Alligator mississippiensis: one gene and its partner. The protein of the gene in region 2 interacts with the protein of the main gene of each other region in a pairwise test. Links are inferred from orthologs where the notes say so. Each region holds a gene or a part of one and is shown on either strand. Other genes may lie near its edges.

The links. The genes of interacting proteins can lie anywhere in the genome.
Region 1: the proteins of SGTA (region 2) and LAT interact in binary tests that used the Homo sapiens proteins (3 or more experiments, as listed by UniProt). The two-hybrid records come from large-scale screens. The link is inferred for Alligator mississippiensis from reciprocal best matches to the Homo sapiens genes SGTA and LAT.

What each region holds. Positions count from the first base shown.
Region 1 is NC_081830.1:220,760-228,688, reverse strand, and holds the start of LAT (linker for activation of T-cells family member 1), read left to right. Parts: upstream 1-4,922; 5' UTR 4,923-5,002; intron 5,003-6,738; 5' UTR 6,739-6,742; coding exon 6,743-6,836; intron 6,837-7,002; coding exon 7,003-7,033; intron 7,034-7,125; coding exon 7,126-7,181; intron 7,182-7,255; coding exon 7,256-7,319; intron 7,320-7,494; coding exon 7,495-7,556; intron 7,557-7,907; coding exon 7,908-7,929. Other genes in the region: SPNS1 (protein spinster homolog 1), read left to right, coding at 432-684, 889-954, 1,048-1,184, 1,272-1,423, 1,509-1,575, 1,782-1,927, 2,002-2,130, 2,598-2,787 and 4 more. UniProt on the Homo sapiens protein: Required for TCR (T-cell antigen receptor)- and pre-TCR-mediated signaling, both in mature T-cells and during their development.
Region 2 is NC_081839.1:2,267,463-2,274,868, reverse strand, and holds the start of SGTA (small glutamine-rich tetratricopeptide repeat-containing protein alpha), read left to right. Parts: upstream 1-4,368; 5' UTR 4,369-4,467; intron 4,468-4,934; 5' UTR 4,935-4,971; coding exon 4,972-5,071; intron 5,072-6,307; coding exon 6,308-6,411; intron 6,412-6,624; coding exon 6,625-6,709; intron 6,710-7,406. Other genes in the region: THOP1 (thimet oligopeptidase), read right to left, coding at 101-203, 882-989, 1,534-1,682, 3,284-3,487, 3,874-3,889. UniProt on the Homo sapiens protein: Co-chaperone that binds misfolded and hydrophobic patches-containing client proteins in the cytosol. Mediates their targeting to the endoplasmic reticulum but also regulates their sorting to the proteasome when targeting fails.

The DNA of each region.
Region 1 (7,929 bases), on a different chromosome or scaffold from region 2:
GTGAGACGGGAGTGCGGTGGAGGGGGTATCCCCCATGGCTGCCATGGTGACCGAGGGAGCAGGTGGGTGACGCGAGGCGGGGAAATCCCTGCGGTTGCCATAGGGATCGGAGGGGGAAGGGGCGGAGCCGGGCGTGACGTCGCAGCCGTTGCCGGGTCAGGTGACGTGGGCGGTGACGGGGCGGGAGGCTGCCGCAGGGTCACGTGAGTTGGCGGGGTTCGGGGAGCGCTGCGTCACCGCGGGGGGGTCACGTGGGCTCTTGGGGTGCGAGGGGGCGACGGGGGCGCTTCCGGGTCACGTGGCGGCGCTGCCGTCACGTGAGGTGTTGGGGGAGCCTGGGGTCACGTGAGGTCGGGGAAATCTGTGGGTCACGTGAGGGCGCGGGCACTGCTCCTCAGGCCCCAGCCGCGCTTGTGCCCCCTCCCCCCGCCATGGCGGCGCGGCGCAGCCCCCACCCCGACAGCGCGCCCTTCCTGAGCCGGGCCGACCGCACGGAGGAGGACGAGGAAGAGGACGAGGGGCTGGAGGAGGAGGAGCAGGACGAGGGGGGCGGCGGGCCGGCCCCCCTGGGCGAGGCAGAGACGGCGGCCATCACCGGGGTGTCGGGGCGCCGGGCCCGGCTCATGGTGGCGGTGCTCTGCTACGTCAACCTGCTCAACTACATGGACCGGTTCACCGTGGCCGGTACGGCGCGCCGGGGCCACACGTGCTGGCGGGGCTGGGTACGCGGAGGGCGGCCTCGCGAGGACAAGGCTTCGGGGAGTCGGGGCAGCTCGGCGTGCCCCGAGCGAACGCTGCTCGAAGAGCCGTGCGGGGCGCAGGAGGGCGAAGGGCCCCGGGGCGGCGCGGGCCGGCGCTGCCCGTCTCACCCCCCGCTTCTGCCCGCAGGCGTCCTGCCCGAGATCGAGGCCTACTTCGGCATCGGGGACGGCAGCTCCGGGCTCCTCCAGACTGGTGAGGGCGGGGGCAGCCCGACTCGCGAGGCGGGGGCAGGGCAGGGCAGGGCTGCGCCCCTCCCGCGCCCGCTCACACCCCCGCGCCCCGCAGTGTTCATCAGCAGCTACATGGTGCTGGCGCCGTTGTTCGGGTTCCTGGGGGACCGCAGCTCCCGCCGCCTCCTGCTCTGCGTGGGCATCGCCCTCTGGTCGACTGTCACCCTTGCCAGCAGCTTTGTGCCCCGGCAGGTTGGTGCAGGGGGGCACCCGCTTTCGGGGAGTACGGGTGGGATGTACCCCCCAGCACTGACTGTGCCCGCCCCTGCGTCTTCCCAGCACTTCTGGCTGCTGCTGCTGACACGGGGGCTGGTGGGGGTGGGGGAGGCAAGCTACTCCACCGTGGCCCCCACCATCATCGCCGACCTCTTCGTGGGCGACCGCCGCAGCCGCATGCTCGGGTTCTTCTACTTCGCCATCCCTGTGGGCAGGTCAGGCAGGGGCCTGGCTGGGACAGGGTGGGGGCGGGGGCACCGTGGGGCTGTCACTGACCCCCCCTGCCTCCTTCCACTGCAGCGGCCTAGGCTACATGGCAGGCTCCAAGGTGAAGGATGTCATGCACGACTGGCACTGGGCGCTTAGGGTGAGCTGGGGCGGTGCGGAGGCAGCGTTGTACCCTCTCCCCCTGGCATGAAGCAAGGGTGGGGCAGCCCTAGGGGTGAGATTTATGCTGCAGGGGGTGGGGCCTGGGTGTTAGGAGCAGGGCCTAAGACTAGTGGGAGGAGCAAAGGCCCATCAGGGCAGGGTAGGCGGGGCCTCAGGCCTGACCCCACCCCCTCCCTCCCACAGGTGACCCCTGGGCTGGGAGTGGTGGCAGTGGTGCTGCTGCTGCTGGTGATGAAGGAGCCGCCACGGGGGGCCGTGGAGCGCCACGGCCCCCCCTCCCCACTCCACTACACCTCCTGGTGTGACGACGTGCGAGCCCTGGCACGCAAGTGAGTGTGTGGCTGGGGGAGGGCCCGGGGTGGTGGGGGCTGGAGCTGGGTCTTACTACCCCCGTGTGTTTCAGCCGGAGCTTCGTGCTGTCCTCGCTGGGCTTCACGGCTGTGGCCTTCGTGACAGGGGCCCTGGCGCTCTGGGCCCCAGCCTTCCTGCAGCGTGCCCGGCTGGCTGCCGGCGCACCGCCCGCTGACGACAGGTCAGGCACTGACCCCTGGTGTGTGTGCGAGGAGCCTGGGCTGTGGTCTGTGCTTTCCTGGCACATGTGCAGCGCTTGGTTTGTGTGCTGGTGTGTGGGAGATGTTTGAGCTTTGACCTCTGACTTTTAACTCTGTGTGTGACGTGTGTCCTGTGACCTCCGGCCTGCCTGTGAGCTGCCTGATCTCTGATGTTGGCCCCTTTGCATGTGTGCAAGGTGCCCAACGCGTGATCTTGTTTTTTGCCATGTGTGAAGAGCCTTTGTCGTGCATGTAAAGTTCATGAACTTTGATCTTTGATGTCTGTGCGAGGTGCTTGGTTTCTGACCCATGGCACCTTTACAGTGCCAGAGCTTAAACCCGTGACCCCTGGCTGTGTGTGTGTGTGTGTGTGTGTGTGTGTGAGTGTGAGATGCTTGTTATGTGCCTCTGGGCCCGACGCCCCCTGACCCATGCCCTGTGCCTGCAGCCTAGTGTTCGGGGCAGTGACCTGCGTGACGGGGGTGCTGGGCGTGGGGGCAGGCGTGGAGCTGTCACGTCGGCTGCGGCTCCGCTCTTCCCGCGCCGACCCCCTGGTGTGTGCCATTGGGCTGCTAGGCGCTGCACCCTGCCTCTTCCTGGCTGTGGCCCTGGCCCGTGCCAGCATCCCTGTCACTTACGTGAGTCGGGGCCGCCGGGCTGGTGTGGGAGTACAGGGAGGGTGGGCCAGGGCCCGGCCGGGTGTTGGGGGCTGTGCCCAGGGTCACAGGTTCACCACCCCTTGCTGCCTAGGTGTTCATCTTCATTGGGGAGACGCTGCTGTCCCTGAACTGGGCCCTCGTTGCTGACATCCTCCTGGTGAGTGGGGGCTGAGGGGGACCCAGGTGCCTGGGCTGAGGGGAGGGGTAGCACCAGGTGGAACCCAGGCATCTGGGACCTCAACACCCCCCACCCTCCCTTCTAAACCAGCAAACTCGGGAGAGAACCCAGGCGTCCGGCCACCCAGTGCCTGATTCCCCCTGGCTGGGCTGTGGTGGGGGCGAGGGGTCAGATCCCAGGGCTGCCCCCGACCTCTAACCTGTGGTCTGACCCTGGCAGTATGTGGTGGTGCCAACGCGGCGGTCGACGGCCGAGGCACTGCAGATCGTCATGTCCCACCTGCTGGGAGATGCTGGGAGCCCCTACCTCGTCGGGGTGGTGAGATACCACCCCCCCCCCCCAACATGGGGGCCAGGCAGGGAGCCTGGATGCCTGGGTTTCCTGGGAGGGGAGTGAGGGCTAGGGGCTGGGCATGGGGGGCCGGGACACCTGGGATCCGTGGGCAGGGCGTGAGGGCTGGGAACCAGGATGCTGCTGTTCCCTGCGGGTGCCCAGATGCCTGGTCCCAGCCGTGTGCCCCCCACAGATGAGTGACGCGGTGCGCCGGCACCGGCCCCCCACCCCACTGTGGGCCTTCCGCAGCCTGGGCTATGCGCTGACGCTCTGTGCCTTCGTGGGAGCCCTCGGAGGCGGCTTCTTCCTCGCCACCGCCCTCGTGCTGCCTGCTGACCGGCGCCGTGCCCACCTGCAGGCACAGGGTGAGTCTGCCCCACTGTCCCCCGGCCCAGTACGGCCCCCATGACCAACAGACCCCAGCACAGCACAGCCATCAGATCTTTCCAGACTCGAGCACGGCCCTCGGGCCAACGCAGGCCCCTAAGACCTAGCACAGTCTCTGAGCCTCTCCTAGATGCCAGCATGACTCCCAGACCAACATGGCCCCCACGACCCTCTGAGCCCCAGCACGGCCCTGTGGACCCTCACAGCCCTCCGCAGGCTCAGCACAGCCCCAGTGTAGCACCCTGAGACCACCCCCAGCCCTGCTCGGAGCTGCCGGGATGGTCCGGGGACGCAGGCGTTGGGCTTCCCACTCCCCTGGCTTGCACCTACCGGAGGGAACGCAGGCGTCCGGGCTCCCAGCCCCGACCCATTTGCTCCCAGGTGTCTGGGCCTCTAGTGTCTCTGCTTCCACCTGCCCTGGGGCTCTTACTTGCTCACTTGTTTGCACCCTAGGCTGGGTGTGGGACAAAGAGCCCAGACATCTGGCTCCTCTCTGCCCCCACCCGCTATTAACCTTTCTCTGCCTCTCTCCCCACTGCAGGGCTGCTGGCGGAGGCTGGGGGGAGCCCCGGAGCAGCGTCCGAGCGCATTGTAGTGCCGCGGGGGGGGCGCGCAGCCCAGCTGCCTGTCTCCAGCGTCCTCATTTGAGCCCCTCAGACCCCGGAGCTGCGCCCGGGGCACAGGGACCAGAGCGCCCCCAGAGCCATGCAAGGGCGGGACACAACCGTAGCCACGCAGCCGGGATGGAAGCTGCCCCCCCCGCGCAGAAGGGACAGGAGAGAGTGGCTGTTCCCTGCGCCCATGGCCGCAAATGGATGGACAGATGGATGGACGGACAAGGGGTTTTACCCCTGCAGGGCCAGACTGGGGCGTGACCAGTGCCAGCCCCCAGCCAGCACAGCCTGCCCCGCCGGGGGATTGGGGTGCCAGGCTTCCCTGCAGTGGTGGCGGGGCTCAGGCTGTGCCTTCCCAGGTGGGGGGGGTCTAGTTGCCCTATTGCAGTGTGGGAAGCCATCCCCATACCGCTGTCTTTGCACCTCATTAAAGGCTTCCTAATGGGTCCCAGGTGTGGTCTGTGTTGGGGGCCTGGGAGCCCGGACGCCTGGCTTCTCTGGGCAGGGGTGTGCGTGCCCCCGCCTGCAGTGAACAACTTCCTGCCCAGCCTCAGTCTCCCGCCGCAGCTTCCTGTGCTGCGGGGGAGGGGCAGGATGGGGGGCGGGGGGAGGGGAGTGGGGGGGGCAGGCAGAGCCTCGCGGCAGCCAGGCTGCACTGACGGAGCCACCGCGCCGGCCCCAGGTAGGTCCCAGGGCGGGGGGACCCTGAAACCATGGCCCTTCAGGCCGGCCCAGTGGGCAGGAAGCCAGTGGTGGCGTATGTCCTGCCCCCACGCTGGCTGGACGTGCGGATGTGGCCACGTGCCTCAGGGCGAGGGCGTGGGGGCGGGGACAGCCCCCGGACACCTGGGCTCCTAACCATTTTGGGGGGTGTCCCTGCCCCATGGTCGTGCCCCTCACTCCTGACCTGCAACCCCCTTTGTTGCTCCAACATGCTCCTCACGTGCACCCCCCCCATTTTCCCCCTGGTGGTGTCCCTCCCCATGCACGAGCCCGCTGTGTGCCACAGCAGTGCCCCTCACTCCTGCCCCACAGCACCCCGTCCGACCCACGGCCCCCTCTCATTGCCCCGTGGCGGCGCCCCTCGCTCCTGGTCTGCAGCCCCACCCCGTCACCTCCTCCGGCAGTTCCCTGCCTGACTCCTCTCCCCGTCGCTCCCTGGCAGTGCCCCTCTTGCCCCCTCTTGCCACGGTGCCCCTCACTCCTGACTGGCAGCACCCCTGTCAGCCCAGGGCGGTGCCCCTCACTCTGCACCCGCGCCGCCCCGTCCCCTTGGCCGCATCCCCAGTGCGGTTTGTGGTCGTTACCCTTGGCTGCTCAGCTGGATCGGGCGGGCTGGGGCGCCTGGGTTCTGGGGGGAGCAGGGCGCCCCGAGGGGCTTGTCAGCCTGCGCGCCAGTACTGTGCCCCCCCTCCATTTCCCCAGCTCAGCCGGGCTGGGCTGGGCCCCGCGGGGGGAAGGGCTGCAGCTGCTTTGCTGCGCCCGGGTCCCGCGTGCAAACCGCAGCGCTGAGACGGAGCCGAGACGCCCACAGCACCTGCCCCCCCACGAGTCAGTGCCGCACTCCTCCCCTGCTGGAGAACCCAGCTCTCAGCCCACCCCCGGTCCTGGTCCCACCTTACGAGGCCTGGTGCCTGGCTCCTACGAGCTTTAATCTCCTGGGGCGGTAAGAGCCCAGGGGTCTGAGCGCCAACCCTGCCCCTTCCTGAGCCAGCAAAGCTGGAGGAGACCCCAGGCGGCCGGGCGCCCCAGGCCTCCACGTTTGAACCTAAAAGGCCTGGAGGAGAACCCAGGTGCTACTTGCTGTCACCCACCGGGCCCCCAACCTCCCCTCCTCTGAGCCAGCTCCGGCCCCGTGTACAGCGGCCTGCCGGGCCTGCTCTCCTGGTGCTGGGGAGACCCCAGGCATCTGGGCTTCCCTGCCAGGTTGCTCCCCTCCCGGTCTTCGGTGGCACTCAGGCATCTGGGTGGCACCTACGTGGCCTGCCTGGGGAAGAGCCCAGGCCACCATGTGCTTTAACCCACCTGGCCTGGGAGTGAACCCGAGCATCCGGGCTCCCAACCCCCCCCACCCCCGTTTGAAGCCAGCAAACGCGGAAGTGAATCCAGGCGTCCGGGCCTTGTACTGGGTCGAACCCAGGCGCCCGGGCCCCCTGCTCGAACCCCTCGGACCCTGATCCCCTTCCTGGAGCAGGTAGAGACCCCAGGCGGCCCGGCTCTTCTGCTCTAAGCCCCTGGACCCTACTCCCCTTCCCGGAGCGTGGGGAACCCACGCGTCCGAGCCCCGCGCTCTCAGGGCTGGGTGGGCCCCAGGCTCCCCCGCCCCCGCTGTATGGCACTGGATCCCCGGTTGCACATGGAGAGCCCAGGTGTCCGGGTGCGGCAGGGGGTCCCTGACACCTGGTCCCCACCGTGCAGGAGGATGGAGCCGGCGTTGCTGGCGCTCGGGGTCCTGGCGCTGCTGCCCCCTGTGGCTGCCCTGCTCTGCGCCCACTGTCCGCGGCGGTCCCCACGTGGTGAGTGCCTGACCCCCCCGCGGCTCCCACCCCGAGCTGGGCGCAGAACCCCGGCATCCATTGTGCTAGGCAGAGGACCCAGGTGTGCGGGCTCTCCTTCTCTGAGGCTGGGTGGAGGGGCCCCCAGGCTGCCCTGAACGCCACCCCCAATTTCCCCTCCCCTCAGGTCCAGAGGCCATTGGTGACTACGAGTACAAGTGAGTCTGTCTGTCCACATCTGACTGTGCAGGTTTAGGGGGGTGGGGGGCTGTACTGGGGGGGGTCTTACGGTGTCTCCCCCTCCCTGCAGGCCCCCAGCCCCCTGCGCCCCCCAGAACAGCTTCATCCTGCTGAGCCGCAGCAGCTGTGAGTAACGCTCAGCCCCTGCTCCCCCCCCCCACTCCCCAGACACCTCTCCTCACCCCTTGCCCCCCCCCCAGGTGCCCCCCGCAACCAGATCCGCCAGCAGCCCGTCACCCCCACGGAGCAGTTCCTCTCCATCCCGTAAGTGGCCTTGAGTGCCGCCCCCCCCCAACCTGCCAGCGGGCCCTCCACGGGGCTGCCCACCTCCCTCCTGCTTCGGGGGTTGACCCCTCGAGGGTCCCCAGGCTGGGGCGGGGGTGCTGTGGCCTTTGGGGGCCCTGTGCTCTGTGCATCACCGGCCCCTCCTGCCCCCCAGGCGCTCGCCTCAGGCCCCTCCAAGCCGCACGGCGTCAGTGGCCCGACCTGAACCCGACAATGGTGAGTGCCGCTCCCCCCCACTGGGTCACCTGGGCCAGAGAGGCGGACAGGGTGCAGGGATGGGAGCTAACCCCAGGGGAAGGGGCCGGATAGATGGACACGGGGAGGCAGGTAACTGGAGCTGCCCTGGGGTTGAGGGCTGGACAGATGGACGTGGGCAGGGGCACAACTGGGCTCACCCTGGGATGGAGGAGCAGACAGGCGGGTAGGGGGATAATTGGAGTTGCCCCGCGGTACGGGGTGGGACAGACGAATGTGGCGGGGTGGCGGCACAACTGGGTTCACCCTGGGATGAAGGAGCAGAGAGGCGGATGTGGGCACCCCTGACCGCCTGCCTCTGCTCCCCTCCAGACAGTGTGCCCAGCTACGAGAA
Region 2 (7,406 bases):
CCCCCCCGTTTGAGTGATGCATACGCCACGGCAAGCCCTAGGCCGGGGGAAGCACGACCCCCCCAATCCTGTCCCTGTAAGTACCGAGCCTGGCCCTCACCGAGCTCCTCCTTGGAGAAGGGCAGGAAGGTGGTGTCCTCATTGAGGTTCTTATTGAAGTCGATGCAGAGCAGGCTCAGCTTCTTCTTAATGGCTTTGATTTTCTTTGCAAAAGAAGCAAGCGGAGATGAGCGTGTCAGGCAGGGGAGGCTGAGCGGTACCTCCAGCCGGGCTGGCAGTTTTGCACCCCCAGCTCCCCCATGTTTGCTGCGGGTATTTCTCCAAGCAGGATGGCACAGTGCTGGCTGCATGCAGAGCCCTCAGCCTCAGTCTGGCTCGGGTCCACCACCCCCAGCACACCTGCTGTTGGCTAGCTAGAGCAGCTGCAGGTGACCAAGGCACATCCAGCCTCAAGCTTCTCTTCTTTCTCCTTCATTTCTATTTTTAACCCACCTCGTGCCCTCTGCTGCTCGGCCCAGCCAGCTGCCGCTCAGTCCCCGACTGAGAGGACTGCCCTCACCAGCTCAGGAAACCCAAGCCAAGCCTGCTCGCCATTTCCCAGCGCCAGCCCCTGCCTGCAAGCCTTAGGTTACTGTCACTCCCAGCTGGGAGCTGCTTTCCTACCAATGCTGCTGATTAGGACTTCTCACCCCAGAACCCGTCCAGACCCTTGGAGAAGCGCAGGAAGGGAAACCTGGGGCAAATCCCCCAAGATCACTCAGTGAACTGGTGACGGAGCCAGGGATACAGGATGCCTATGCTCTGATCTAACCGCTAGACCCTGATCTTTAGCCCCATGGATGGGCCCAGGCAGCCTTAGTTTCTGGTTCTTGCCATCTCACCTCCTGCGTGTCTTCAGGGAGGTGTAAGCCATTTCTCTTGCCCAACTTAATCAGCCTCTCCAGGTATCTCTGGGCTTCAGGCCTCAGGGATGCACTTTCCACTTTCTCCTGTAAAACAAACAGCCAGGGGCATTAGGAGAGGAGGCAGCAGCGCCCTGGGACCAATGCTGGCTTGCCCACAGCCGGGGAACTGACTGGGCAAGGCCCACATACTGTCGTAACGACTGCTGACCCTGAACAAGACAGATGTCTCCTGCTAAAAGGACGAGACCTGAGAGCGGAGTCACTGACAGGTCATTTCACTTTCAAGGCACTTTGCAGATTTAAACCCACCCCCAGCTTTCAAAAGCTGGTCAGCATCACTCCCCTTACTGTGCAGATGGGGAAACTGAGGCAGAGAGCATAAGCACCTAACATTTCAAGCCACAGACGGAGTCAGAGCTGACAACAGGGCCTAGAACTGAACTCTGTCCTTCACAAGAACAACTTGATCCTGTTACCCTGATGGGGTAATTTAGTATTAAACTGGACTTAACAGAGTCACCTGGTACACAGAAGGACTCACTGGCCCCCCCAGAAGCACTCTGCAGACTTCCTAATCAGACACTAAGCCCCTCTTGCCCTGGGCACGTGTCACCCCCCTGCCACAAACCTGGAGCCAGACGATCCTCTGGTACACGTCCTGCCTCATGCTCATCTCCACGTCGAACTCCGAGAGCTTCTTGTCGGCCTCTGTGCTCGCCGTACGGATGTCTTTGCAAGGGGAGACGTGCTGGGGGAAGTCCAGCATGTTTCGGTGAACTGGAATGACAGAGCCAGGGGCTGAAGCTGTGGCAGGGCAGCTGGCCTCATCGTGATACCACACAGGCAAGGGATGCTTTGTGGAGGCAATGCAAACTGACAGCCCCGCATGCTGACAAATGAGCCAAGTAGTGGACGGCAAGCGATCCCACCAACCTGCCTCACTTCTGACCTGACAGGACCTCCCTCTCCCACAGCCTGCTCCATCCCCGGTCTCTACAGTGATCCACTGGGATCGGTGCAAGTTCCTTGGGGCAGGATTCTTGCTGTCTTACTGGTCTGAAATGCATCTCACATCCTTCTGGCTCTGTGGAAATTCATAGATTTATAGATTTTAAGGCTGGAAGGGACCTCGCAAGATCATCAGGTCCAGCCCACCCGCACTAGGCAGAAAAGACACCTGGGGCAGGTGACCCCAGCAAGGTGACCGTCCAGTTTCCTCTTAAAGATTTCCAGGGTAGGTGACTGCACCACGTCTGAAGGGAGTTTATTCCAGTCCAGACACCCTGACTGTGAAGAAGTTTTTCCTAATGTTAAGCCTGAAACGGTCTTCCAAGAGTTTGCGGCCACTGCTCCCGGTTTTCCCCAAGGGTGCCCCGGTAAGCAGCTGTTCGTTGAGCCCTTGATGTATTCCCCTGATGTGGCGGTCAGCTGCTACCAAGTCCCCTCTCAGCCTGCTCTTTTTTAGGCTGAAGAGACCCAAGTCCCTCAGCTTTTCCTCGTATGGCTTGCCCTGCAAAAGTCCCTGATCATACGGGTGGGTGCTTCTCTCAAGCTTTTGCACATCCTTGTTGAAGTGCGGTGCCCAGAACTGGACACAGTCCTCCAGCTGCAATCTCACCAATGCTGAGCAGAGCGGAAGAATCACTTCCTTGGTTTTGCTGGAGATGCATCGGTTGCTGCATGCCAGGGTACTGTTAGCCCTGCTGGCTACAGCTCATGGTCATGCTGTGGTCTATTATTGTCCCTGTGTCCCTTTCGTTCGTGGTGCTGGTCAGTTTGGCACCACCGAGCCTGTAAGTTGGGGACTGTTCATCCCCAGGTGGAGCACTTTACACTGCTCAATGCTGAACTTCATCTGGTTCCGACCCGCCCAATTTGCCAACCTGTCTAGACAACTGCTCAGCATTTCAGATCCTACAAGGGGAAGGCAAAGTCTGCGTGGTTTATCCACCCTGACATGCCGAGATTGAGCAGGCATTTTGCTGACATCTGCTGCATTTGTAAGCCTGGTGCAATTATTCTGCACCACATAAGCCCTAGCTCCTAAAAACAAATATGTAGGTTAAAATCGAAAAGGGGCTCAGATAGCCATGTGGTCAGGTGTCAGCTCGTAGGAGCTGGGGGTAGAAAGGGCCTTTTATCCCAGAGGCAAAGAGGTTTTGCTGCCAGGAAGCTTTTCATGACAATCTCCCACGTTTCCTACCCTCTCCCCTAGTTGGAGCCCCCAGATACAAAGGCTAACGAGAGGAAATGCAGAGCAAGGCTGCAGCGGTTAACGACGACAGGAAGAGACGATTCCACAGACCAAAGACCTGAACCGTCATCCAGCTCCTCACGAGAGCTGCCGAGATTCAGCCGCGCCCTGTGCCTCCGCGTACCCGTATACTCCACCTCCACGTCAGCCAGGGCCTTGAGGGTGTTCTCGTAGGAGACCTCGCCCTGCTCCTGCGCGCCCACGCGGTCGTACACCTGCTTGGTCCTTTCCACGAGCTCCACGGTCGTGCTCTCGATCTGCTCGGCCGTCAGGTTCCATCGCAGCCGGTTGGCGACGGGGCGGGGGGGCTGGCTGTGCACGACGCTGCCTGGGACGGCCGCGCGCGCCGCGTCACCGACGGGGGGAGTCACCAGCAAATCTCCCACCCCCCTTTTGCCCCCCCCACTGGCTCCCACCCTTCCCCCTTTGCCCCCCCACTGCTTCCCACCCCCCCTTTTGCCCCCCCACTGGTTCCCATCCCCCCCTTTACCCCCCCCCACGGGCTCCCACCCTTCCCCTTTTTGCCCCCCCCCGGTTCCCACCCCCCTTTTGCCCCCCCATTGGTTCCCATCCCCCCCTTTACCCTCCCCACGGGCTCCCACCCTTCCCCTTTTTGCCCCCCCACTGGTTCCCAGCCCCCCCGCACTGGTTCCCATGCCCCCTTTTGCCCCCCCAGCGGATCCCACCCCCCTTGCCCCCCCGCCCCGGCGGTACCTGTGGGGGGGGCCATGCCGGGGGGGGAACTACTGCTGCCGTGCAGGCGGCTCCCCGCTCACAGGGACATGTGTCCCCAGCCTCAACCACAGAGAGGAGGAGGTGGAGCAGGCAGGGAGGATTCTGGGATGTTGGAGGACTGGCGCTGGGGGGCGAGGTAGACCTCTCTCCCCTCAGATGTGGGGGAAGGGCTGGGGAGGTGCAATAGCATAACCCCCCCACCCCCTCCAAGCCAGGGCAGGGGCCCGATCCTGGCTCGTATTGGACATGCGCTGGGTGGGGGGGGCCTCCAGGAAGTATGATCCCCCCAGAGTGGGGAGCCAGCCACGTCTCTATGGTACACAAGGCGAGACACCGCCTCGCCTCGCCTCGCCTCGCCTCCCACAATGCCTCGCTAGCAGCACTTCCGCCCCCTGTAACCTCACTTCCCCTTCCGCCAGGGAAGAGGACGGCACGCAGGCGCAGAGGCGGCGCGGGCGCCCCAGCGCCTGCGCAGTGCGGCGGAGGCCGAGGGGGCGGGGTCGGCCGGGTCGCCGTGCGCCTGCGCAGTGCGCTGCGGGCTCTGCCGGGGCGAGCGCAGCTCGGAGGCGGCTGGTGAGAGGGGCGGGGCTGACCCCCCGCAGGGGGCGCCCGGGGGGGCGCGTGTCCCCTCTCCCGGGGGGGGGCTGTGCTGCGGGCACGTGTGTGCGTGCGTGTGCACACGTGCGTGTCTGTACACGTGTGCATCTGCGTGTGTGCACATGTGTGCGCCTGCATGCACCTGAGCCTGTGTGTGCATGCCTGCCCACACGTGTGTGCCTGCTCCGAGCCTCTTGGGGTGCTCCAGAGGCCCTTGGGTGTGAGCGGGGAGTCGTGCAAAAGCTAGAATAACCGGAGCGCGTGTGGGGTCGCGAGCACAGCTCCGCTGCCGAGTTTCGGCTCAGCCCGTCCCGCAGCGCAGAGGGGTCGCGCTGCGTGGGGTCCGGTCTAGCCACAGCGTCCAGCCTTCGGTGCCCGGCCCTCCCCCGTCGGGGAGCCTCGCTGTTTTGCCTTGTACTGATCGCACCCTCCCCCGGCCGCAGACACTTGTTCGGGGCAGTCGGAGAGCAGCCGTGCAGCATGGCGGACAGAAAGCGCCTGGCCTACTCCATCATCCAGTTTCTACACGACCAGCTGCAGAACGGGGGGCTGTCCCCCGACGCCCAGGAGAGCTTGGAAGGTAGGCGGCTGCGTGCCCCGCCCTGCCCCGCCCCTGCCTCCCTCCCGAGCTGGGCTGCCCGGGCCGGGGCTCAGCATCGCCGATGGGCTTCTTGCTTGGTTGTGCAACTCCCTTCTGGCCTAGTACTGATGCTTTCCTAATAACCATTCATAGATGTTAGGTCGGAAGGGACCTCAATAGATCATCGAGTCCGACCCCCTGCATAAGCAGGAAAGAGTGCTGGGTCTAGATGACCCCAGCTAGATACTCATCTAACCTCCTCTTGAAGACCCCCAGGGTAGGGGAGAGCACCACCTCCCTTGGGAGCCCGTTCCAGACCTTGGCCACTCGAACTGGGAAGAAGTTCTTCCTAATGTCTAGTCTAAATCTGCTCTCTGCTAGCTTGTGGCCATTGTTTCTTGTAACCCCCGGGGGCGCCTTGGTGAATAAATCCTCACCAATTCCCTTCTGTGCCCCCGTGATGAACTTATAGGCAGCCACAAGGTCGCCTCTCAACCTTCTCTTGCGGAGGCTGAAAAGGTCCAGTTTCTCGAGTCTCTCGTTGTAGGACTTGGTCTGCAGGCCCTTAACCATATGAGTGGCCCTTCTCTGGACCCTCTCCAGGTTATCCGCATCCCTCTTGAAGTGTGGTGCCCAGAACTGCACGCAGTACTCCAACTGCGGTCTGACCAGCGCCCAATAGAGGGGAAGTATCACCTCCCTGGACCTATTCGTCATGCATCTGCTGATGCACGATAAAGTGCCATTGGCTTTTCTGATGGCTTCGTCACACTGCCGGCTCATGTTCATCTTGGAGTCCACTAGGACTCCCAGATCCCTTTCCACCTCTGTGCCACCCAGCAGGTCATTCCCTAGGCAGTAGGTGTGCTGGACATTTTTCCTCCCTAGGTGTAGCACTTTGCATTTCTCCTTGTTGAATTGCATTCTGTTGTTTTCCGCCCACATGTCCAACCCGTCCAGGTCTGCTTGTTCTGCGTGAACCCTTGCAGCTCTTGGTGTGTCACAGGGAGAAGAGCAGCTTTCCAAACCACTAGCTAGGGGAGCAGCCAAAAAATATCACCACATCCTGAGCTCACTCTGACCAGCACCGGCTGGCTAGTAGTCATCCTTTAGCAGCAGGACTGGGATTTTTCCCATCGGCATCCTGAGTCCAGACTCCAGGGTAGCGGAGCGGGGTTGAAACACGGCTCTAGAAGGCAAGAGGAAATCTAAGTGTCCCCCTCTTTCCCCACCCAGTTGCAATCCAGTGCCTGGAGACGGCGTATGGTGTGTCCATGGAAGATCAAGGGCTGGCCGTGTCTCAGACCCTCCCTGAGATCTTTGAATTTGCTACAGGACGGGTGAGTGTCCTGCGGGGTAGAGCTGTGGATTCAGGATTGCTGTGAGAAATGCACGTGTGGCTCGGTTTCGAGGCTGCACTGTCCCTGTGGGGGAGTTGGTGCTGGCAGCGTTTCGCTCTGAAGGACCCAGCCTTGCAGGGGATTGTAGCGCTGGTTTGTAGCAGATGCTGGTGACACTAAATTATGCCTTTCTCTCCCCTTGGTGTTTACTAGGAGTCTCAAGACAGCAGGACGAGCTCCGAGCCGGTCACCCCTTCCGAAGAGGATGTCACCGAAGCTGAACGTCTGAAGACTGAAGGTCGCTTCCTTGAGGGAACTGCGCGGGCTGAGCTGAGCTGAGCATGGGTGTGGGTGACAGAGGGGTGTGTGCAGAGTGGAGGGAGGACTCCCCTCACAAGGGGTCAGGGTGTGCTGTGCTGGAGCGGGCGCTTCCCCCTGTTCTGCACAGTTCCTTCTGAACCGGGGTGTGGAAACTAGGCGCCACGATGCTTGCCAGCCCTGAAGAACCGAAGGGCCAGGTCTAAGCCAGTGAGGGTACCACAGCTGGTAGGATGTCGCTGCCCTGGTCACGGTCCTGTTGGGAGCCTGCTGGGTTTGCCTGAGCTGTAGCTATAATCTGGAAGAGTGTTGGGCACATTGTTACCTTCTCCTGGTGCATAGTTTGCTTCCTGTGTGGCTCCACTTCCCAGCAGAATGGGCCCTGAATGGAAACGCTGCCCGTTCTCTGACAGCCTGGCTTGATGGGTCTGTGGCTGGGGGGGAGCAAGAAAAGCGGCAGTGAGAAGCCTCGATGGTGCCTTCAAAATGGGGAAGTAGAATCCATGTGCGAACTGGCAGGTTCCCTTCTGACATGGCTGTCGGTAGCTTAGAAGCACCGTCATACCAGGACCAGCACGGTTTCCACAACAGACGTATCCGTGCTGTGTGTGAACACATCTCCTGCTCACTCATGTTCTAAGGCACTGGCAAAAGGCCAGAGTTTTCAGTCTTGTATC